3 linked regions of the Bombyx mori genome follow. The main gene of each other region encodes a partner of the protein of the gene in region 3 in a complex. Links are inferred from orthologs where the notes say so. Each region holds a gene or a part of one and is shown on either strand. Other genes may lie near its edges.

Evidence for each region.
Region 1: the proteins of uncharacterized protein LOC101745226 (region 3) and Mek are in contact, whole or in part, in a cryo-EM structure (PDB 8BW9), measured with the Drosophila melanogaster proteins. The link is inferred for Bombyx mori from reciprocal best matches to the Drosophila melanogaster genes cnk and Dsor1. Residues at the interface, in NP_001286524.1 of Drosophila melanogaster: Arg46, Tyr48, Arg72, Tyr76, Thr92, Lys95, Asn96, Arg99, Arg103, His117, Arg121; in NP_511098.1 of Drosophila melanogaster: Arg200, Gln255, His258, Gln262, Tyr319, Val321, Asn322, Glu323, Pro324, Lys347, Gln348, Asp350, Glu351, Arg352, Ala353, Asp354, Lys356.
Region 2: the proteins of uncharacterized protein LOC101745226 (region 3) and protein aveugle are in contact, whole or in part, in a crystal structure (PDB 8BW8), measured with the Drosophila melanogaster proteins. The link is inferred for Bombyx mori from reciprocal best matches to the Drosophila melanogaster genes cnk and ave. Residues at the interface, in NP_001286524.1 of Drosophila melanogaster: Pro47, Glu51, Leu56, Arg57, Ile58, Gly59, His60, Gln61, Glu62, Leu65, Glu66, Glu69, Lys110, Ile111, Asp112, Thr113, Leu116, His117, Ile119, Thr120, Arg121, Ile123, Lys127, Val130, Glu134, Arg139, Arg145, Cys148, Gly149, Leu152; in NP_725413.1 of Drosophila melanogaster: Tyr24, Gln51, His52, Asp53, Ile54, Arg57, Ala58, Arg61, Ile62, Thr63, Ser66, Arg69, Met70, Glu79, Trp82, Arg83, Val86, Lys87, Arg89, Leu90, Lys91, Asp93, Ile94, Glu96, Ile97, Arg98, Met100, Glu101, Leu103, Asn104.

The regions. Positions count from the first base shown.
Region 1 is NC_085127.1:6,271,756-6,279,857, reverse strand, and holds the start of Mek (MAP kinse-ERK kinase), read left to right. Parts: upstream 1-3,057; 5' UTR 3,058-3,273; intron 3,274-3,800; 5' UTR 3,801-3,836; coding exon 3,837-3,955; intron 3,956-4,428; coding exon of another isoform or gene 4,429-4,431; coding exon 4,432-4,601; intron 4,602-4,860; coding exon 4,861-5,136; intron 5,137-5,829; coding exon 5,830-6,023; intron 6,024-6,134; coding exon 6,135-6,299; intron 6,300-6,982; coding exon 6,983-7,150; intron 7,151-8,017; coding exon 8,018-8,102. Other genes in the region: chromatin assembly factor 1 subunit A, read left to right, coding at 386-853. UniProt on the Drosophila melanogaster protein: Required downstream of Raf in the sevenless (sev), torso (tor), and Drosophila EGF receptor homolog (DER) signal transduction pathways.
Region 2 is NC_085109.1:14,221,552-14,229,483, reverse strand, and holds protein aveugle, read left to right. Parts: upstream 1-3,477; 5' UTR 3,478-3,657; coding exon 3,658-3,696; intron 3,697-3,845; coding exon 3,846-3,959; intron 3,960-4,169; coding exon 4,170-4,352; 3' UTR 4,353-6,078; downstream 6,079-7,932. Other genes in the region: protein phosphatase inhibitor 2, read right to left, coding at 1,069-1,473. UniProt on the Drosophila melanogaster protein: Required for normal photoreceptor differentiation between Ras and Raf for EGFR signaling in the eye and for mitogen-activated protein kinase phosphorylation. Probably acts together with Cnk to promote Raf activation, perhaps by recruiting an activating kinase.
Region 3 is NC_085128.1:246,021-253,350, forward strand, and holds part of uncharacterized protein LOC101745226, read left to right. Parts: coding exon 1-45; intron 46-314; coding exon 315-555; intron 556-660; coding exon 661-812; intron 813-879; coding exon 880-1,077; intron 1,078-2,962; coding exon 2,963-3,256; intron 3,257-3,344; coding exon 3,345-3,587; intron 3,588-5,342; coding exon 5,343-5,478; intron 5,479-6,425; coding exon 6,426-6,588; intron 6,589-6,663; coding exon 6,664-6,721; intron 6,722-7,330.

The sequences.
Region 1 (8,102 bases), on a different chromosome or scaffold from region 3:
AAAATTAGAATTTACTCAGACACAACAAAACAAAAATTTAATATGTAGTGTTGATTCAACCCTGTTGCTATTTTCTACAGAAAACCAATCATGGTCATTTATTCCACTAAAGGAAGAATCTCCATCATGTTCCCTCGCTCCTGGATATCAGAAATATAAATAGCAAATTAAATGGCACCATATATCGATATCAAATCCTGTTTAAAGTAATTTTCCAATAAGTATTCCAGTATTCCAATTTTGTTCATACTTCAACCTCATGTTTCGAAGTAGGCCGTCCCAATTTTGATATGTTGGAGATGAGTCTTGATTACTATTTAAGTAAAAGTAACCTGTTTACTATTTATCTAATTGGACTTTAATATATTCTTTAAAATATTCATAGGAAGCAACTATGGAAGATGATGACGTACTATCACTGTCCCCTGAAACACAGAAGGCGAGGCTCAAACATTTAGAGGATGAATTTGAAACTGAAATGAAGAAACCAACCGAAAAACTGAAACCACGCATGTATGGCCCACTTTGGGAAAGTAGTGATGGTGGTAAGCCTAGTAAATGCGTTGACGCTTTATGGAATTACTTCTCGAAACTAGCCATGGTTATTGATGATCCAACGCCTTTCTTACAACCTTCGAGTGAACCTGACGAACAAGAGAAAAAAAGAGTTAAGAAAAAGAAACCTGTTAATTCTGAAAACAGTGAACAAAACAATAAATCTGAAAAAAAGAAAAAGCCCAAATCAGAGGAAAAAGAAGGAAAATCGCCTAAAGTTGAAAACAAAAAGATTGGTCCCGAAAAAAAGAATCAGCCTGGCATAAATATGTTTTTAACTAAATTAAAGTCTTCATGAGTTTTCACTTTTCTGAAATATAATAGAAAATTGAAAACTCTTGATTGCTTAATGCTTCAATGTTTGACCATATGATGCAAATGATTCATTTGTATTATTTTATTGAATAGTAAATTTAATATGATATTTCATTTGTAATTGAACAATATTTAAATATTTGAGCATATTATTTTAGTATTAGAGCTAGTTACATTAACAAGCAGCATTAGGTGATTTCTGTAAATAAATAAGCTTGATTTTATTTTAATGTATTGCCTAGGTTCTAATTTTATTTCAACATTATTATAAACCCATTTCTTAATATTGTACTTTTTTTGTTTTCATCCTGATATAGAAATTATAAAAGAAAGATAAATAGAATAATCATCACATAGCTGTGATGTTAGATTGTTTATATTTAATTTAGTTAATTAGGGTATACCTATGAATAAATAATAAGTCTATTTATTCATAGGGGTATACTAAACACAATGTACAGAACAGTGATTGATATATCTGTTCCGGGTTGAGATATCAATCTTGTGTCAAAGTGGGAACATACAATAAGGGTTAAAGGTATAAATAACTAGTAAATTAATCTGTGAATAATAAGTAGTGTCCTTTTAAAATGCCACTACACAATATGAATGAAGTTGATCGATAGTTTCAACAGAAAACTATGTTGAAGATACTCTCTAGTGGCTGTTGGACTTTGAACCACATTACTTCACTCTTCATTACACTGAATTGCTTTAGGTATTTTTGCGGGAATATGAGCAAAGCTGTCTGAATAGTTTTGTTAATTTAGTGTTTCTTCAGGTTTAAACGTGTAATAATAGTACATTATTTACTGTTTGGCATCTTAAAATACACAAATTTGGAAAAATTAAACAGCCGTTGGACGTGGCTTCATAAGTTCTTAAAAGTCCACTGAAGTCTCAGTAAATAACCATAATCTTACTGATCCTTTATTTCATCTCATCTCGTTTCATTTAATTTCATCTCAATTGATTACAGTCTCAAATGAATAAACTAAATTAAATCTCATTTCGCTCCATTATCTATACTTCTATACTAATATTATAAAGAGGAAAGATTTGTTTGTTTGTTTGTTTGTATCGAATAGGCTCCAAAACTACTGAACCGATTTGAAAAATTCTTTCACTGTTTGGAAGCTACACTATTCCCGAGTGACATAGGCTATAATCTTTTTTGAAAAAAATTTGGGATCCATACTACATTGCGTGCCCTGCGAAAACTATTGATGACAGAATAAAATAATGTACTACGACTTTGTAGAACATATTATTATTTACAAAAAGTGTCGCGACAGCATATGTCTAACTATTATAGTTATGCCACAATAAGTGTTCTTTTATATAAAAAAGTAAAACAACGTCGTTGAAATTTTTGCTAAAGATCCGAGCGAAGCCGGAGCGGGCTGCTAGTTTTTGATATAACAGAAAATTTCAAATTTTCTAATTATTTATTTTATAATTGAAGGTAGGTATTTAATAATTGAAGATTTTTATAAACTGGACATTGGCAACAATGGTATCGCAAGAAGCCAATTGCCATACATAAAAGACGAAGAATATCTTAAAGCAGCATGTCAATGAATTTTAATATTCTTATTCCAATCTAATAGTATTTTTCAATTTTTATTTTTTCTCATGATTTATGTTTGATTTTTTAATTGCATAAACGAGCAAAGCAGCTCAGAACTTGGAGAGCATAACAAGCAAAGCAGCTCAGAGAGTTACTGGAGCTCATATAGATCACAACGTATTTCTATAGTACTACTTGCAACGTAGATAACCACTATCATTTTTATGAAATAAATTAACTTCCTATAAAGTTGCCTGGAAGAAATCGATTATATTTCGATTTATGACATAACATCAATATTCTTGTTCATTGTTTTGTACATACCTACCTTAACCTTTACTTAAATTTTTGTTTGTTGAAGAAAGAAAAAAAGATATGAGAATTCCGAACATAAATCATTTATTATTATTATCAATATTTTGGTGATTAGATAATTTTTATTATTACTTGTTAGATTTGAATTTTTTGCGAGTAGTAGTCTGAAAAAAAAATTTGCTCAACTTGGTTTCTCGGTAAATTATAGAATCTAGTTCTATTTTTTTTTTATAACTTCAGGTTTTGTTTCAAAAGAGTAGTTAAGCTGTTTGGGTCACATTCTCTTTGCCTATCCAAAAGACGAATCAAAAAAATGTCATATCTACTTACGGCAAAAAATTTGCGAGTGACGAATATTCGATTTACATTTTCTTTTCAGTTAAGGTTTTTTCCGACATTAATTGCTGGGTTTGGGACTCTTTTTGAGTAGTTTTGTTTGTGTTTCAATTTTTTTGTAAGAAATACCGTTGCTGTGTGAACGTTATAAAATAATGCCTTGACAAATGGGTATTTGATGAGTATGAATCTTGTTTTTTCTTACAACGCTTTTTGTTGTTCATAAATTTTGCGGTGTTCGATGAAATTTCCATTTAAAATTAAGAAAAACTTCGTTTGAATATAATAATTGAATTCAATTCATAATGGCTCCTTGCTACATCCTTTTTGTTTAAGTATTAATAGATTTTAAATATTAATCATTAGTATCATAATTAGGCACTCTAACCAAAAATTTTACTCAAGAAAATGAATAATCCAAACAACAAAAACATTGTTTTTTTTATCAGAAACCAATAGTACAGATACATTACAGTATATAGACAGTAGATTATATTTAAGGGGAAAATAGTGTTTTTCTTTTTTAACACTTTCGAGATAACCTAGGACCTGAAATAGCTTATTTACCAAAACAAAAATGTCTTCACAAAACTTAAAGACGCAGGCATAGCTGGCTTACACTGGCAAGAAACTTAGAACTTGTCATTAAATTTCCAAAAACCTCAAAAAAATTAAACCCTCTTATTTAATAATAAATCAACTGTTGTAGATACTTCATGGATGAGGGAAGATCTAAAAAATCAAAATGAGTAAGATGTCAAAGAACAAACTGAATTTGACCCTTCCACCAGGGTCAATAGACACAAACCCAGCTGCCACGCCATCTAACATGACACCACAGCTCAAATCTGCTACTGCAAATGAGTAAGTATATAAATAATGAAACTTCGTTATGAGGTTGAAGTTATTAAATAGGGATTTTAATAATCTTTACAGCAGTAAAGTATTATTATCAAACCTAAAATTATTAAGAAATTCATTATTATAATTATAGAAGTTAAATTTTTGATTCTCAGATATCATTAAAACACTTGTTATGGTTTATTTTCGTATTTATTATTTTCATTTTATTATTTCCAACATTTCTAATGCTTTACATTACAAGAGTTAAACAGTTTATCAGTTTTTATTTGTTAATTGCTTAGGCAGGTGACCAAATTCATAGCCTACCTCTTTATATAGTGATAAATATAGCCAATGAACATCACAACAATGATATTATGGTCCTCCATATAAATGGAATGGCACCAAGTATATACTGCATTTCTAGCTTCTTAATAATATATATAAGCATATATATTTACATTGAAATTTTTTATGTTACTGTAAAATTGTTGTAGGCGGCAAGGGTTAGCAGGCAAGTCAAAGACAAGTATAGAGGCTTTAACTGAGAGACTGGAGCAAATTGAGATGGATGATACTCAGAGGCGCAGGATAGAAGTATTCCTCTGTCAGAAAGAGAAGATTGGAGAGCTGAGTGATGATGACTTTGAGAAGCTTGGTGAATTAGGTTAGTGATTTTATAAAGTATCTAAAATAATATTTGTACTAGTGAGTATTTTAATTTTCTGCTATTTTTAAATTACTTTACTGACAACTTCAAAGTTTAACTTGGTGATGACCTTTAAATGCTTAATTAAACTTACCCTATAATTGGTAATTTCAGGAAAAGTAAAAAATGTAATTGAAAAATAAGAATAACTAAACTATATAAAAGAATTACTAATTATATACATTGTTAGTGACTTTTAATTATTATAAAATTTCAGGCCAAGGCAACGGTGGAGTTGTAATGAAAGTTCGTCACAAATCTACCGGACTCATCATGGCACGCAAGTTGATTCATCTCGAAGTGAAACCGGCTATAAAAAAGCAGATAATCAGAGAGTTAAAAGTACTTCATGAATGTAACTTTGCACATATAGTTGGCTTCTATGGAGCATTCTATAGTGATGGCGAGATCTCTATATGCATGGAATACATGGATGGAGGGTCATTGGATCTTATATTGAAGAAGGCGGGAAGAATTCCTGAATCTATTTTAGGTAACGTTTAATTGATCTATGCTACATCAAATTAATAATTAATCGCTAGAAATTCTTACATGTTAATACAAATCATCTATTTGTATTATTTTGTATCTTTGTTGCAATATTCCATTGCATATGTCATTAGTTGTAGTTGAAAGGTTGGTGCCACATATCTGTTTATTAATGTTGCTAAATTACCTATTCTGCTAGAATGCTACAAGAATATATTAACTGTTGATTTTTCTTTAAGCTAATCTTAAACCACTTATTGTTAGTTGAGGGTATTCTAAAAAAAATCAGCAGTGTTGGTACACAGCAGCTTGCTTGAGCTCTATTGGAACCATATAGACGCTTGAAAGGCAAACGTGACTAAGTGACAATAACTGATTTGTTCATAAATGATACGCAAATACCATATTCGATGCGCAAAAAAAATATATTTCTAGGTCTATTAAAATCATTTCAATCCTACAGCTAGACTCGTTAAAATAGAATTTTTTTCAGGTATTTCAATTTTAAATTAGTCTACTGTAAAGTTAACGCATTGTCGCTTAGTCACGTTTGCCTTTCAAGTGTCGATATGAATGCTTCAGTGATCAGCTTGCACATTAATATATACTAACTTTTGTATATTTCTATAACCAATGATTAGAATAGACCTTAATAGAAGAATTAGAATAACCCTAGAATAATATTGTGAACTCTTAGGAACAATCACATCAGCAGTTCTCAAAGGTTTGAGCTACCTTCGCGATAAGCACGCCATCATGCACCGTGACGTGAAGCCATCGAATATACTTGTTAACAGCAATGGCGAGATTAAGATCTGTGATTTCGGTGTTTCGGGGCAGCTGATAGATTCAATGGCTAATTCTTTTGTTGGTACCAGGAGCTATATGTCAGTGAGTTGAATTCGATTTTTTTTCTAAAAATTTAAATTCAAATTTGACCAGAACATCAATGAAAAATAGAATCAAATGTTTAAAATTCAATATTGATTCTTTTTTACACAGCCGGAGCGTCTGCAAGGCACTCATTACTCAGTGCAGTCAGATATCTGGTCGTTGGGTTTGTCTCTAGTCGAAATGGCCATTGGAATGTATCCAATTCCACCTCCTGACGCTAAAACATTGGCAGCTATATTTGGTGGGCAGAATGAGGACCACTCACCGGGCCAGGTAAATTTTAATTATGATTAACTAGCACCACTGGCAGACATGTACGGCTTTAGTATTAAAACATGCTTCCAATATTTTGCAATGCATACAATGCATTTACTGGTGGTAGGACCTCTTGTGAGTTCGCACGGGTGGGTAGGTACCACCACCCTCCAATGAAGTAGTAATGCATTTCGATTTGAAGGGTGGGGCAGAGTTTGTAAATATACTGAGACCTTAGAACTCATATCTCAAGGTGGGTGGCGGCATTTAAGTTGTAGATGTCTATGGGCTTCGGTAATCACTTTACACCAGCTGGGCTGTGAGCTCGTCCACCTATCTAAGCAATAAAAAAAAAAGCTTTTCTAATAATTGTGATAAAGAGAGTTTTCTTTCTCTGCTTTTGCAGTGTATATATCTCACAATATACATACAAGGAGTAATATTGTAAAAGCAATTTTTTAATCTACCACAGCAAATCACTTGATCTGTTTCATTAATTTTCAACATTTAGGTTTGTCTAATGTTCACCCATACTGATTCGTAACTGCTGAGCGACTTTCAATTAATGTCATCAAAGTGTTCATGATATTAACTATACAGAAATATTCCATATTGGTTGAGGACTTAATATTTATAGTACTTAACAAATGACAGTGTAAAAACTAAAAAGAACATTGTACACATAGTTGAATGTTTAACAGGCGCCGAATTCACCGCGTCCGATGGCCATATTCGAGCTCTTAGATTACATAGTTAATGAACCACCACCGAAGCTTCCATCTGGCATCTTCTCTGATGAATTTAAAGATTTCGTGGATCGCTGTCTCAAGAAAAATCCTGATGAGAGAGCGGACTTGAAGACTTTAATGGTAAACATATTTTATTTTATTTTAAAATAACATTATTATTATCAGCATTTATCAGCTCATAATACCAAAATGAACCTCTCACTTCCGTGGGTGTCGTGAATGGCGACTTAGGGATTTACCAGAGGATAAAATGAAGAGAAAAATGTTCTTTGAGTAATTCACATTTACTTGTGCACCGATTGGGTCCTACAACCTGCCTATATCTGCTGCGAAGCAATTAGAACAGTTTGAAGGGTGGACCAGCTGTTATACAATAGAAATGAGACTTTCCACCTCATGTCTGAAGCTGGGTGGCGGTGTGATGTCTATGGGCGCCGGTAACCATTTAATATCATGTAAGTTGACAGCCAATTCACTCATATCTGCAGTAAATCAAACATCGTAAGTAGATTGGGCAAAATCGGGACCCTTTCCAAATCCAACACAAATTTTCAATGGTTTTTCTTAGGGTAATACCAATAAAATTGAGATTAAAAATTACAAGATATACACAAAAACTGAAAAAAATTTGCTTAACCCGATTTGGCTTGGCTTTGGTGTGAATCAGATTACGTATGAGGGACAATAGAGTTTTTCGATAGGGCTGGCTTTAGGTAATTAACTTTCTAATATCTTTAATGAGTTACAAAATTTTGATGACTAAACTAAACTATTTAATATTCTTAAACACTAAATAAAAGTCATTTTCAGTTCAACAAAGTTAAATCTAACAACAGGATTTGTACCTATTCTACTCTACTCTACTACAAACTCTAGTCTCTATTTCCCTCAATTACTTACTTCATTTGTACTTAATTACTTGTACTCGTTGATAATTACTTGTACTGTACTAGTACTTAATTTGTAATTATGTGTATAATTGACTAGAATCACGAGTGGATCCGGAAGGCGGAAGCCGAGAAGGTGGACATCGCTGGATGGGTGTGCAAGACCATGGACCTAATGCCTTCCA
Region 2 (7,932 bases), on a different chromosome or scaffold from region 3:
AGATTTTAGACGTTCATCATAAGCTCTGGGAAAATTCAGAAACGTGAACGAGTAAAAATATTTTATTAATTTAGTCCTCTCTTCTTTGTAAATTGCAAGGTGAGAAGTTCTCAGCGCAACTTATTTATCATTTAATACCATCAGTACAAATCTAAAATATTGTTTTCTCCTTGCTGATATCTAGATATGTTATCAAAAAGATATTGGTTTCCTATCATTTTGATAAACTTATCAAATTTGAACAGTAAAATAAGGTTAGTAATATATTTTTTTTACTTAGATCAATGGACCTGCCCACCTGCTGTTAAGTGGTAACCGAAGTCATTAGACATAACAATGTAAATGCAGTCAATATAATAGATGTTCCACCTATCAACCCCTTCAGCATCTTATTGTTTAGGCCATCATGACTTCAAATAGTATTTTATATAAGATCACTTTACAGATACGATGATAAATAATCATATTTAAAAACATGCTTTTTTCGTATGATAAGACATACATGTGTGTTTAGATAATCTTTTCAAATTTTAGACTATATTCCCTCTGCAGAACTAATTTGGGATTTTTGATTTTGATAAACAAAGAGTGCTCTTATTTAAGTGGATTTTACTAATATTTTCATTTAATTTTATTCCTCAATCTGTTTCTGTGTACAAACACAAATATTTTTTAAAGAAACTATTCAAATTCAATGATAAAGCAAATAAATACTATCATGTTAACTTAACATCAAAACTTAGAACTAAATACTTCTGATGATATAGAAATATCCCACATTCTATAGCCATATTGTGCCAAGCTAGTTTCCTTCTGTTATTAAAATTATGGTCCCAGATGCCAATGAAGATGAACAAAAATATTCACACCAATCAGAAAAACAAAACAGAAAAGAAAATGAAGTCACTCAAGGTTATTAGTTATTAAAAAAAACACATTAATTAATACTATGTTGCCCGGAATACAATTTACACCATTTAGAAGAAACAATTTATCACTACATCCTACTTAAATTGAAAATGATCTAATCACTCAAGCTTCTATGAATCACATAATATAATATCTGACCTGGAATTCATTGTAATGCATTTTCCTTTTCTTCTCGAACTCGATACGCTTTCGGCGTACTTCCTCCGGCTCCTCCATGTCCTCGTCACTATCGTCACAGGACTCCACGCACTTCGGCGGCTTGTTCATGCTGGCAGCTAACTTAGCTGCGAGTAGATTAGCATCTAATTCATCATTTGGTTCCAAATCACCGTCTACCGTCTCCGAAAAAGGCGTTTTAGGTTCTTCTACCTTCATGTGACCATAGTCCTTATTCGGTGGATGAAAAGTCTCCATAATGTTCATTTCATCAAATCTCTGTTCTTTCGCTCGCTTACTGCAAGATGGCATTCCGTCAGAGCCATCGACGCTACGAGACGTCTTCAATATGCCCTTGGAGGGTTTTTTCTGTAAATTTTGCGCCATTATTTTTGTTTATATCGGCATTTTACATGTAATAATTCATACGGGTAAAATTCAGACTTCAACTAATTTCATTTTTTCAACTTCAATATTTGACAGCTTCAACATTTACCAAAATGTCTTTTTTGACATTGTATTTGTTTTTTTTTGTTGGTTTTATCTACTGGTAAAAACAATATAGCCTATACGATGTAATGTTGTAGCAAGAACTCGTATGTTCGTACTTTGAATTCAAGTGCTCTATAGTCCAAAATTATTTACATACTTGAAACATTTTTGAAGAGAAAATTTCTTTAGCCGCATAATGCACTTTAACCAGTAAAAAAGTAAAGTAAAGTTATACTCCTATTCCACAATTTACTGTAGGTGGTAGGACCTCTTGTGAGTCCACGCCGGTAGGTACCACCACCCTGCCTATTTCTGCCGTGAAGCAGTAATGCATTTCGGTTTGAAGGGTGGGGCAGCCGTTGTAACTATACATGAGGCCTTAGAATGTATATTCTAAGGTGGGTGGTGCATTTAAGTTGTAGATGTCTATGGGCTCCAGTAACCACTTTAACACCAGGTAGGCTGTGAGCTCGTCCATTCATCTAAGCAATAAACAAAAAAAAGCATCTTGGTGACGCGACACACAAGATTTCACCCATCCAAAAAGCGTCTAACGCATACAGTCAGGTATATATTATGACGTCTTATCTTATACGTGACGCTGCAGATGCGCTAGTTTGTTTGCTTAGTGCGAGTTTTTATACTTTTCAATCGCGTAAAAGTTAACTCAAACTTGCATGGTTTTTTTTTTTTTTTTTTTTTTTTTTTGTCAGGAGGAAATCGCCGGACTCCCACCCTCCACTGGGGATGGAGGGTGGGGCATGTCGGAGTCGAACCGACTAAAACCTCCTGTCGCTCAACAACCAACGTCCAACCCTCGCATGAGACAGAACTCATGAAAAGGCAAGGGGAGGAGAGTGAAGCGTTTAGTGCGGAGCACATCTCTCCCATCACCCTCCCCCTCGGGACGCCGGGCCAGCGATCGTCGGCGCCACGACCACCAGCCCTCTCGGTCGGCAGGCTGTCCGAAGCCCGCCTAGATGGCGCCGGTTTGAATTGGTTATCCTACGAAATACCCCGCTGGGTCAGAACCAGCGTGGGTCGAGGATAGCCGGCCTTCCATCACCCGGATGCTCTTGCGTAAAACGCGTGCAGAGCAGCTTGCACGTCGTCTTCTTAGGCCCCCTTCGCCGGGCCCCAGACCGACATATGAGGGGGACCCGAAACACTTAGAGGGCGAGGGCTAGGGCGAGATCCGCCTCCCTGGCCCCCGCTCGACGGCGGCGGGCTTGTGCGTCTCTCACGCGCCCCGCCGCCTCCTTCTGCGAGATGGTGCACTCGCAGAAGTCGAGCATCGCCTTCCACGACTCGTCGTTGCCGAGCATCGATGCCACAACACTCGGCAACGACAAGTCGTTTCCTATTTTTGCGACAAGGACACGGCGCCACCCCTCCCATGCGGGGCAGGCAACGAGCGTGTGCTCCGCCGTGTCCAAGTCGCAACCACAATGGTAACACTCTGCCGTCGGCTCGGCTCCGATCCGGTGCAGGAACTCACCGAAGCAACCATGCCCAGTGAGCACCTGCGTGAGCCGGAAAGTGAGGCGTCCTCTGTCACGATTCACCCAATCCACAAGAATCGGGCGAATCGCCTCGACGGTCCTACGACCAGCCGAAGGATCGGCCAGCCGCCTGGACCATGACTCCAGCGAAACAGCGCCCCTAGTGGCAAACGAAGAGACGCTGTTCCAACCGCACTAAGTACAGTGGTATCTGAGTACTAGTACGTTCTACGTATATATTATGTTCTAATATGTTCTATTATTGTGTGCAACTTATTACAACTAAAATTCATTGGATTTAGAAAAAAGTTATTTTATACTAATTGGTATTTGAATTAAATTGTATTTCTATTTCATGATTTGGCATTATGGGCTATGTTCCCATCGACTGCCAATTGGACTACTCAAATTGAAAAAAAAGAGTACGTTTATATTGTTTTGCAAAATTATAAATCGTAAAATCACATATTACATACACATAATATTTACACTAATTATTATTGTACAGGATTTACATACTTGAACCTCTAAATTATTGTATTTGTAGTAAATAATTTATAAAACTGTAACTTTGAAAATGGTGGAAGAACCGAATCTTAATTCAAGTAAACCCAAAGTTAGTATTTTAAACATTTAAATTAGGCGTTTGTGTAGACCAACGATTTTAAATAAAACAAAATCTTATATTTTGCCGAAATTCGAACCATAAATTTCCTAGTACTATAACAGTTTTTGGTTAATGAGTCTATTTCAATGAATTTTCAGGCGAAAACGACCCGTCCCAAAGCTATATATTTATGGACAGAAGCCGACGTCCAAAAGTGGCTTCGACGCCACTGTAGTGATTATTATCATATGTACTGGGAGAGTTTTCACGAGGTAATATTTTTCATCCAATTAACAAAGCTTCAAACTTCAAAATCGATTAAAGAATTTTTCAAAATTCTTAGAATCATTCATAACATTGAGTGCAAAAATAAGCTAGTCAATGAGCTATTTATTGAAATATATGACCTAATTGTAATACACTTGATTAGTGAAGAATTATGAAATGAATAATTAACATAAAAATAATTAACACAATTTCAGCATGACATAACAGGTAGAGCTCTAGTCCGTATCAATGACAACACATTACTTCGAATGGGTATCAACAACAAAGATCACAGGGAAGCCATATGGAGGGAAATCTTAAAACTTAGACTGAAAGCTGACATAGTCGAGATCCGTGATTTAGAACGTAGGCATAACTATTTTAATTATGACTTGTGACAGGAGGAGCCTCTAGTTGAGGAACCGAAGACAATTGAACAAATAACATCACAGCTTACTGTATGGGGATACCTGATTAATTACATATACACTAAGTGCAATGCATTTGTACGTTTTCTCTGTGCCTTAGTAGAAATATTCAGAGTATTCAATGCTTTACAGAGGTGACAACTATAATCTGCAGCCGATAGGGCTAACTCACTTTATTCACTCACTAAATTCCATAGTGATAATCCAGAAGCTACCTACTGTAGGAGATTTAATTTATACTATATGTCATAAACATGATTGAAGTTTCAGATTTCAGACAGATGTTAACTAAAATGTCAATAATGCTTTACCGTATTACTGTGTTCATAACATAGAATGGCTGTGGTTATATTATTTGTTAATCTATGTTTTTAGTATTTCCGAACTGATATTAGTGCACCTTGATGTATATTAGTAAATGCTCACAGCTATTAGTTTGTAGGTCTATTTATCCTGACAGTTCTGCCAGTCAATAGTAATAAAATCTTGTGTGACTATTAGCTAATTAGTGATTTTGTTAGCTAATTAGCTTGAACAGATTATGCAAGTTTGATGTACCACTTGTTTTATGAATGTGCAAAGATTTAAAAAAAAACTGTTTATAATCAGTTGTAACATACGTTTTGAAAAAGAAAAAAATACGACAAACAAGACCTAATATGCAATGCAGTTAAATGCTTGAGCAATCAGAATTTGACAAAATTTCTGACATTGAAATCATTTTTTGTCGTTTATAAGGTGGGTTCAGCCCAATAGACATACATGCAAATGTCTCATTTGAATGTTAATTCATCTTGTACCCTTAGATTTAAAAGTCAAGATGGGAATTAATGTCAGGGTTAAGTTAGAAAATGATAAGCGCCTAATGAAACTAGATCAAAGATTGAGAAGAAGCAGCAGTAATAAAATAAAAAAAATTGACAAATCAACTTCTTGTTGATTTGTTTATTTTAAAACACATTAGTGTGTTTCGTCCGATTCCTTTTAAAAATTTATATGATGTTGTTAGTGCTCAATTTAATTTAAAGGAAACACTATTTTATAAATAAATAAAGAATTACTTAACAAAAATGATAAATTTATTTATATGTTATTGTAATTTTTTTATAATATACTTATTTTTAGTGAGTGGTGCTGCTGTTGTATTAAGTGTTGGACTGAAGTTTTAAAGAGTATTTAGTGTTGCATTATTATTACCTTTAATGTTCACTTTGATGGAATTCAAAGGAGGTGGGCTATTTTAAAAAATGTTAATAAAATAGATTTTAGTTTTTGTGATATTTTTTAATGAATCACTCAATTTTAATGTCAATTTTGTGAAAATACTTAAAGCCTATTGTGTATATGTTTACAATAAGTGAAAAAGTAATACACTAAGTTGTATTACTCAATCTTTCAATTTATTTCATACAAAGTACTACTAATATCTGCAACATTTGAAACTAAACTAAATAATTATTTTAATACGTAATGTATATTCCTTCCATGCTTTAATTTAACCTTGTAATGAATTCCTTCCGATAAAATTAAAGATAAGATTAGTGATTTAGGCATATATTCATAGATATTATTTATTAATATTGATTTAAAATATCAAGATATTGTAAATTGATATTTTATTTGAAGGTAAATTTAATGAAAGTATTTTTTTTGACAATAAAAATATTGTAATAATAAAAGCAATCCAAAGATATAATTATTGTTTTAGTTGCATTGCTATGCATTTATATAATATCATAAATTGTTCGATTGGAAAAACCTTGTCGTATCAATCTGTTGAAAAAGTCATGATTATAATATAGCGCGTAAATGAAATGTCCTTAAACCGGAATGGGAATAAGCCAATACCTTATGGTTATCTTTACACAAATGACGATTACTTTCAATTGATTTCCAGTAGGGAAACACGAAATAAAAGTAACGGAGCTTGCAGGCATCGCGCGCCTTTCCTCAAGTCAACATTCCGCGCTGTAGATGATTTTAAATAATTCAGTGTGCTTAGTGCGAGTTTTTTAACGTTTTCGATAGCGTAAAAGTTAACTCAAATTTGTATGGAGTTGGAACGCTTACCTACGTTTGCCGCTAGGGGCGCTGTTCCAACTGCATACAATATTGAGTTAACTTTTACGCTATCGAAAACGTTAAAAAACTCGCACTAAGAACACAGTTTAAAATAAGTAATAAAAATCAATCAGTTTTATATTTCGGTCTGTTTCGTCTATGCCGGGTTCTGCCGGGAACGAAGCCCGGCAACGCCGACATATTGTTGCAAAATGTTCGTTGATCAATCACTTTTATTTTTGCTTTTCCAAATACTGGTACGGTGAACAGAAAAAAACACAATGGCACTGAAAAACCAAGGTTTGTATTAATTTACTATGGTGTGGGTCGTTTGGTGATAGAAAATAATTGTGCCCACGATATTCCACTGATGCTATAATCTGTGACTTCACACATTTCTACCAGGAGGGGGGTGTCTACCTAATATCTAAAGGAGCAGAGAGCGCCCGTCTATTCCAAAAACTATCAACAGTAAGATTGGACAAGTTCAATATGTTAAAATAATCACTATCGAATCAACTATAATCGAGTCCGCGACTAACTAGTTCCCCGTCTTACATTGATGTATTAAAAAAACCCCGTCTTAACAAATAGAGTTGTTTTTAGATTGATCTACCTTAGACTGCTGCGTCCATTCTCTAATTTCTCGCTGACTAACATCAAGTGAGTTCGTCATGGCCTAAAAGATAAGACGTCGGTGCATTCGTATCGAGCGATGCAACGGTGTTCGAATCCAGCAGGCGGGTACCAAATTTTTCTAATGAAATACGTACTCAACAAATGTTCACGATTGACTTCCACGGTGAAGGAATAACATCGTGTAATAAAAATCAAACCCGAAAAATTATAATTTGCGTAATTACTGGTGGTAGGATCTCTTGTGAGTCCGCACGGGTAGGTACCACCACCCTGCCTATTTTTGCCGTGAAGCAGTAATGCGTTTCGGTTTGAAGTATATGAATATATGTACCTATACGAGGGCTGCACTAAAAGTATCGGGAATGGAATATTTCCACTGTTCCTGTCATATTAAAATCTTTTCAATTGAAAACTCCTTGGTTTTAAAAATCGAATACCATTTATTTATTTAAAAAAAGATCCTCGGTCGGAAAGATTGGGCACTAATATATAATAATGGAAAAAAATTCTAACTGTATGTGCTATGTACCTGCCGATTAGATATTCCCATGGCCGCAACAAACATACTAAAATTACGTAAATTTGACCTTATAGGTCTAATTCGGTTCAGAATATGTAGTCGACCTCGAAGTTCGGTGAAATATGTATAATGATGTATGCAGTCGGTCTGTATACACCCTTAGACACGTCGAAACATAAATACATTGCACTCATTGTCGTGCCAGAAACGTTTTGGCACAACGCGCAAGATTATTAATTTGATGAACGCTAAAAGTAACCTAACAAAGTATCGAAGTATTCGAGATGTCGGTACTTTTTATTAAATGTTAAGTAGGTAAGTACCTAAACT
Region 3 (7,330 bases):
CCCACCTCGCCGCTCAAGCCGATGCGGACCATCGACGCCGGACAGGTAGCAGCACTCTGCTACTAGCGGACTAGTGTAGTCATCTAGCGGAGCTAGCGGTGTGGTGCTCTGCGTCACTCTGCGACTCGCCCACAGCGGGCCCATGCTATAGATCGGCTCGTGTGTTCGTCATCACTGGGGGAGTCGGCGATTGTAAGAATGGTGCTGTTTTATTGTAACATTTTAATTTTAAAACTCAGTTATTCCTCATCACTGGCGTCAAGTAATAATCCGGCTGAAGATGTTGCGTAGTGTGTCACGGTCATATCAATCAGATTTCAGTTCCGCTCCGGCACATCACGAAGCACGATATCAAAATGATCCCGAACGAGGTGATGCACGAGCTGCCGGCCATCAACAGCGAGGCGGACCCCCCGGGCGCCCCCGCGACTCCGCGACCCGTCGACGATCACCACTCCTCACGGCCTCTCGCACTGTCGCCCACTAGTGCCGTGCGAGGCATGTTCCCCTCGTCCAAATCCAGGAGTCTGAAAAAGAAGAGCTCCATACTGGCCAGTGAGTTAATTCCAACAGCACATACAAATTGTCAATTATGAGTAATATAGCTATAAACGTTGATTTGGTATTGTTTTGAACAACGAGTGGCATTGCGTGGCTCAGAGCGCCGGCAGGTGGCGGCGCGGTGGGTGGGCGCGCGCGGCGCGGGCGGCGCGGTGTGGCAGCGCGTGCGGGCGGGGGGCGCGGCGCCGCGCTGGGTGGCGCGCACGCTGCTGCTGGCGCACAACCTGCTGTACGCCTACCGCTCGCCGGAGGTACGTGTCCCCGCCCCGCCCCCGCCCCCCGCGCGCCGCCCCGCCTGTACCCGCCCCCTTTGTGCAGTGCTCGAAGGCGGACTGCATGATCTACCTGGAGGGGTTCACGGTGTGCGCGGCGGGCGAGGTGAAGTCCCGCGCGCACGCCTTCAAGGTGTACCACACCGGCACCGCCTTCTACTTCGCCTGCGAGTCGCGGGACGACATGCTGGCCTGGATCCAGCTCATACACCGCGCCACGATGCTGCCCTCCCTGGGCCACCAGGTACTGTCCACTGAAAAAGTCTCAGTAAATGACCACCATTTTACTGAGATTATATTTCATCCCATATCATCTCATCTCATTTCATATAATTTCATCTCAGTTGATTGATGTCTCAAATTAATCATCCTAATTTCATTTCACTCCATATTATCATTTTTCATAAAAATAAGAATATAAATTAAAATAAGACATGACCTAAATAAAGGTATTAGTTATCAGGTCAAAAAATCCGTTTAAAAAAATAAAAATACTTGTTTCCTCCCTAAATTTAGGGGGGAGAAATACAAAGTTGGGAACCCGGTCGCTTTTGTTTTGTAATAATAGTGGCATATTTTGACATTTTTGCCACAGAGTATAAAAGATCAGCAATGTCGGAACGGCAAAGGAATATTTTTATGCAGTTCGTAAACATGACGCCACCACAACATTTTCCCTTTTTAATTATTTACTCACAAATTAAGTGATGTAAAATTATAAGAATTACATATTTTAGCTCAGAATAAAAAAAATAAAGAAACGATATTTTTATGCATGATGAAGTTTTGAAAGGATAATGTCCATTTTCTTTGGGCGTTTGGGCCCCTAAAAAAAGTTGTCGTGTCATGATGGTTTTAACTTAATTTGATAGACAAAGAAATATCGTTTCATATTCAGAAAACGATTTTAATATTTTCACCCAGGTTTAAGAGAAATCTGTTTTTTTCTGCAGCTAAAATTAAATTGTTGTTTTCTTCGAAAATCGCTCTCATAATTAATTACAGTGTTAAATAAGTGAATTGTGGTTAATGTTGCTAGAAATAAGCCCTTATGTACGTTTTATTATTATTATATCCTCATATTAATAATAAAATGAAGGTGGTTTCTGAGAATGGACTTCATTGACCCTTCTTTCGGAAATGAAAATCCAGAAGCCAGCAACGATATTGCTGTTGTTGTTTTTGAATTCGCCAATAGGCAGGCAAAGAGCGTAACCTAAACAGCCTAGTCTGTCGTAGTTATATTATTTTTATGTTAATAAAAAGCCGGTGTATCTCTTTTTATTGCTTTTTTGGAGTTTTGACGTCAACTCGACGAATAGCACATTGACTGAGCGTGAGTTTCCGCAGACCTTTTATCTTGAAAAAAAAAAAAGAAACAGTCACTGCTATGTTAGCCACAGTTTTATTTCAATATCCACAATCGTGAATAACGGTTATTGACGTTTAATACATCAAACAACACCCAATTTATATATTATACATCACAATAAACTATTAAAAAAACATTAAAATAAAACTTCAAGTGACGCTTCACTCGGGTTGCTGCCAAAACTCTGACCATAGATAATAAGAATAAGTAATGGTGGGCCATTGAGATTTTTACTAATGGAATCATTAATGTCTAAAAATGTTAAATAATTCATGGTTTTAAGTAATAATTATTATTACAATATATAAATATTGAATTGAACAAAAATAAACTAAAAAAGTCTGTGAATTATAACCGTTCCGTTAGCTTTTTTTTTAATTTGTTGTTCAAGTCAACATCTCTTTCTTTTGGCAGCATTTAGGTTTACTATAAGTCTGTATGGGCTAGCCCTTTGTCTGCCTATTAGCGAATTTAAAAACTATGAATGATGGATGTACTCAGTTTTCGGATGTTATCAAATAAGTAATTTATTTTTTTGTAAAACAATGCCAGGGTGAAAGAAATTTTGATACATAAACTAAAGAACGTGAAAAAATAAGGCATGTTTTTCAAGTACAAATAGTTTTGACACAAAATTGGCCCACTTTTGGGCATTGTCCTATTGTCAATTGAATTGTGTTATTGTAGTATTAAAGGACACAATTTGTATAAGATGAGTTGCCCACACAACATACGTGTTTCTGTCGCGTGCTTGCAGCTGGACGTGTCCAAGCAGTTCTCGGAGACGGACTACTCTGAGACCGAGTCCGACAGCGAGAGCCCCGACAAACGGAGCGAGAAGGAGAAGGAAAAAGATAAAGAAAAGGACAAAGATAAGGAAAAAGAGAAAGACAAAGATAAGTCCAAGTTCGGTTCCTTAAAGAAACTAACCCACATGATGCAGCGCAGCGAGTCGCAGGAGATCGTCAGCCACTCCTCCACCAGCCTCGACAGGAAGTACCTGAGGTTCTTCCTCAGGAACAAGAGCAAGGACGAGACCAAACCAGCCAAGGTCAGTCGAACGCCGTCTCCGGCCACGCTCGTGGCCCCCCCTGTCCCATACCCGCCAGTTCTGTACTGCGCACTGTGACCTGTCGCAGAGCAAGCCGGCCCCCCCGGAGCAGGCGCGTGGCCCCCCGGAGCAGGCGCGCGGCCCCCCGGAGCACGCGCGCGGCCCCCCGGAGCAGGCGCGCAGCCCCGCCCGCGCCCCCCCGGAGCCGCTCGCCAACAAGATACCGAAGCCGATCAACTACATCCACGCTTCCAACCCGAACCTGCTCGATTTTGAGAAGAGCGACTTTGTGACGCGCCCCACGCTGCGGGTCCCGCGCCCCGAGCCCAAGGTCAGCGCCGCTCACACGCACGCACACGCACGCACGCACACACGCGCGCCGCCCGCGTGCTGACACGGTTAAGTCAACCGGGCTCAAAATCCCGTAAAGTTTTGTAAATTGATTGAGTGAATCAGAAAAACAATTAGTTCGATAATTTTTACATTACTACTACTACTGCAGCTACTTTTACACTGCGGGACATAATGTTCTGTTAACTTGAAACACACTCTAAATCGAGGTACGAATTGTTGGATCTTGCAGCACGCACCGGTACGCACCGGGACACCAGTACGGCATTGTATGGGAAACATAACATTAAGATAAAGATAAAGAAGCCTTTATTAACAACCTTAATTCATATTTAGGTACATTTTTCTTTTCATTTGACATCCGCTAAGATTGTTTTGCTTTCGCATAGACCTCCCCCAAATCCTGCCATAAGTTCCGGTCGTGGCATTTCCTCTTCCACGTAGAGCAGGTCCTCTCGCAGGTCTGCTGGAAGAGATTTCTCAAAGAAATAAGCAGTGCCTTTGTACATAATTTTCCTATTACTCTGTACTGTGTCTTGTTTTCTGTGTGTACAAAAATAAATAAATAAATAAATAAAATAAATAGAGCCTGCAACGGCTTTTATATCGTCTACCCACCTTTGGAACGGTCGTCCTTTTAATCTTTTCCCCTTTTGAGGGTACCATTCAGTTACTAATGTAGCCCATTTTTCTGTTTTGCTTCTTAATAAATGACCTATCCATTTCCACTGTAATTTTTTAATTGTGTATGTATGATACATCCGTTACTTTTGTTTTCATACGGATATCTTTTAATTTTATTTTATCCTTTATTTTAGCATGTAGCATGCTTCTCTCCATACTATGTTGGCATGTCTGCAGTTTTTTGATGTTCTTCTGAGTTAGAGCCCAGGTCTGACACCCATACGTCATAGTCGGAAGTATATTTCTATTAAATACTTTACTTTTGAGTGGTAGTGGAATAGACCCGTTTTTTGTTATTACTTACATACATATTTACGAACATAACATTAAGAGCATCTTATTCATAATCTAAATTACAATTAATCTGTTGTCCTCAAAGTCGACGGCCGCGCCCCACTGCAGTCCCGGCCTGTAATGTCGCGGGCGGAGCCCGTGCCGTTGTTAAATTTTTTTTGCAAAGTTATTTGAATTAATGTTATATTAAATGACTGTCTCTTGGGGAAAAGCGATTTTAGTCTTTTCCTAGTACTAAAGAGTATCTCCCATCTCCTTTCACGGCTCGGAGACTGTTTTTTTTGCTTTTATGGTTGGATGAGCTCACAGTCCACCTGGTGTTAAGTGGTTACTGGAGCCCATAGACATTTACCACGTAAATACACCACCCACCTTGAGATATAAGTTCTAAGGTCTCAGTATAGTTACAACGGCTGCCCCACCCTTCATACCGAAACGTATTATTTTACTGCTTCACGACAGAAATAGGCAGGTTGATGGTACCTACCCGCACGGACTCACAAGAAGTTCTACCACCAGTAATTACACAAATTATAATTTTGCGGGTTTGATTTTTTATTACATGATGTTATTTCTTCACCGCGGAAGTCAATCATGAATTTTTGTTGAGTACGTCTTTCATTGGAAAAATTGGTCCCTGCCTGCGGGATTCGAACACCGTTGCATCGCTAGATACGAATGCACCGGACGTGTTATGCTTTAGGCCACGACGACTTCAAAACGACTGTCTCGCTGTAGCGCGGGTTGCTTGTTGCAGCTGGACAAGGGCCCGGGCGCGGTGACGCTGGAGCAGTTCATGCTGGAGAAGCAGGCGGAGGAGCGGCGCCAGCTGTACTCCGAGCGCGTGCTGCTGGGCGTGCGCCGCGACCTGCAGACCAGGCTCGACAGCATCGGTGCGGGCGCTGCAAGCTATTTATTTACTTATCCCATTCAATTCAAAAGTCACGCTTACAGTTTGCACCAAAACGCCTGACTGGTTAACACAAAAAACATTGTTAAAATTATTAAGTACTATTATTATGCTAAAGATAGCATTATTTTGGAAAAAAGTGTTCCCCAACTATCGGCAAATACGTCACAGCGCAATCGCTCTGGCCGCTGGACAGCTCCTAGCTCCACGGGTCCTCAGCCCCGCCCGCGCGTGCTGTTGCCCGACGAATAGTGTCGTTTGCCAGTGCAGCGCAGTGCCAAGGAATTATTGACTCTATTCTGTAATAAAGAACAGTAACGTACGAGTAGATGCAACTTAAGTTGCAAGTACTTAACGCTGCGTTTTAACGTCGCGCTCTGTGCACGTCACACAAATTGACTAGACGAGCCCAACGCTCCTTGACGCAACGTAACATTCGCCAAATCATAGTGCTCTCCGTGCAGTGTGAAAATTTAAAGATATTAAGATGTCGAATGATTCAGATGTGGCATTGTATAAGCGCGAGTATTTTCCAACTAATTCTATCAATTTTTCGGGCATTATCCAGTATTTTAATACATATTCACTCGGACGCTAAAATAAAATTTGTAAAAAATAACAACGCCTGACGTCTAGCGTCCTAACGCGGCCTTAGAGCGCTGCGTACTGCTAGCGCTGGCGCTCGGTCTGACACTTTATTACCATACTAGTACAACACATCTCGGCGTCGTAGCGCGCCGTCAGTTTAGCGTTCTGACGCGCGCTAAGTACGCGTTCTGTGTGAAAAACACCTATTCTCCGCTGAACCCCTCAGCCGCCGCATACAAACCCTAATGGTGTTGCAGGCCGGAATGCACCTTCCTCGTTTCATTTTAAATTATTTCAATACATTTTCACGTCACAGCTTATTGAAGTAAACCATTGTAATAGTTCCAGATGTAATCTACGGGGAAGTGCGAACGGGAAGCAACTCTGCAGTGCAGGGGCGCGCTCTGCCCTCCGCGCCGCCCTCCGCGCCCTCCGCGCCCACCACCGCACCCTCCGCCCACAGCAGCACCACCCCCAAGCCTGTCTCCGTCAGAGGGAGGGACGGGTGAGTGGCATATGATGTCCGCCGGCGGAGACTAGTCCCCACGCTGAGTCAATGTTGATAAATGTAATTTCCCAGATACGAGAGGCTGGTGTACCGCGCGGAGGAGAAGCCTGCCTGGGGAAGGAATCACAAGGTGAATATGACCATGTTTGTGGTAGTCTACATAAGGCAAATAGTACAATGCGGCCCGGGAACGGCCGCTCGGGTCGAAATATGGCCACTACCCTTCAAAAACTTTATCGAATAAAATAGCTGAACAGCGGGTAGGATCTGTCTATGAAATTACAATGATTATTTTAAAATCGATAGTTTGATAACTATGTACATACAATTAACTCTGCCAGATATCTACAGTTTAATTAATCCTATTTTGATTTTCTTTAGCATTTTTAAACTTTCGATCAAAAGAGATCCAGAAACAAAACAGCGTTGTTTCCGAACTTCAACAAATATATGCCTATACGAGTATAACTAAAGAAGGAAATAAATTGGTATAGTTCTTAATTGTGAGCAAGAAACATAAACTGATGAGAAGACGGTAATGACATTAAAAATAAATAATTAAGTTAAAGGAGGTATAAAAAATAATAAACACTAACATAATTGAAAAAAAAACATATAAACCGTTCATTAATTATTTCTAAAACCTTCTCTAAAGGTTTTCGATTTGATATGAATGTTCAGAACATATCGGGTCGTAACTTGGCCCAGGGACACGTTTATTCTGGCCGGGCGGACCCGC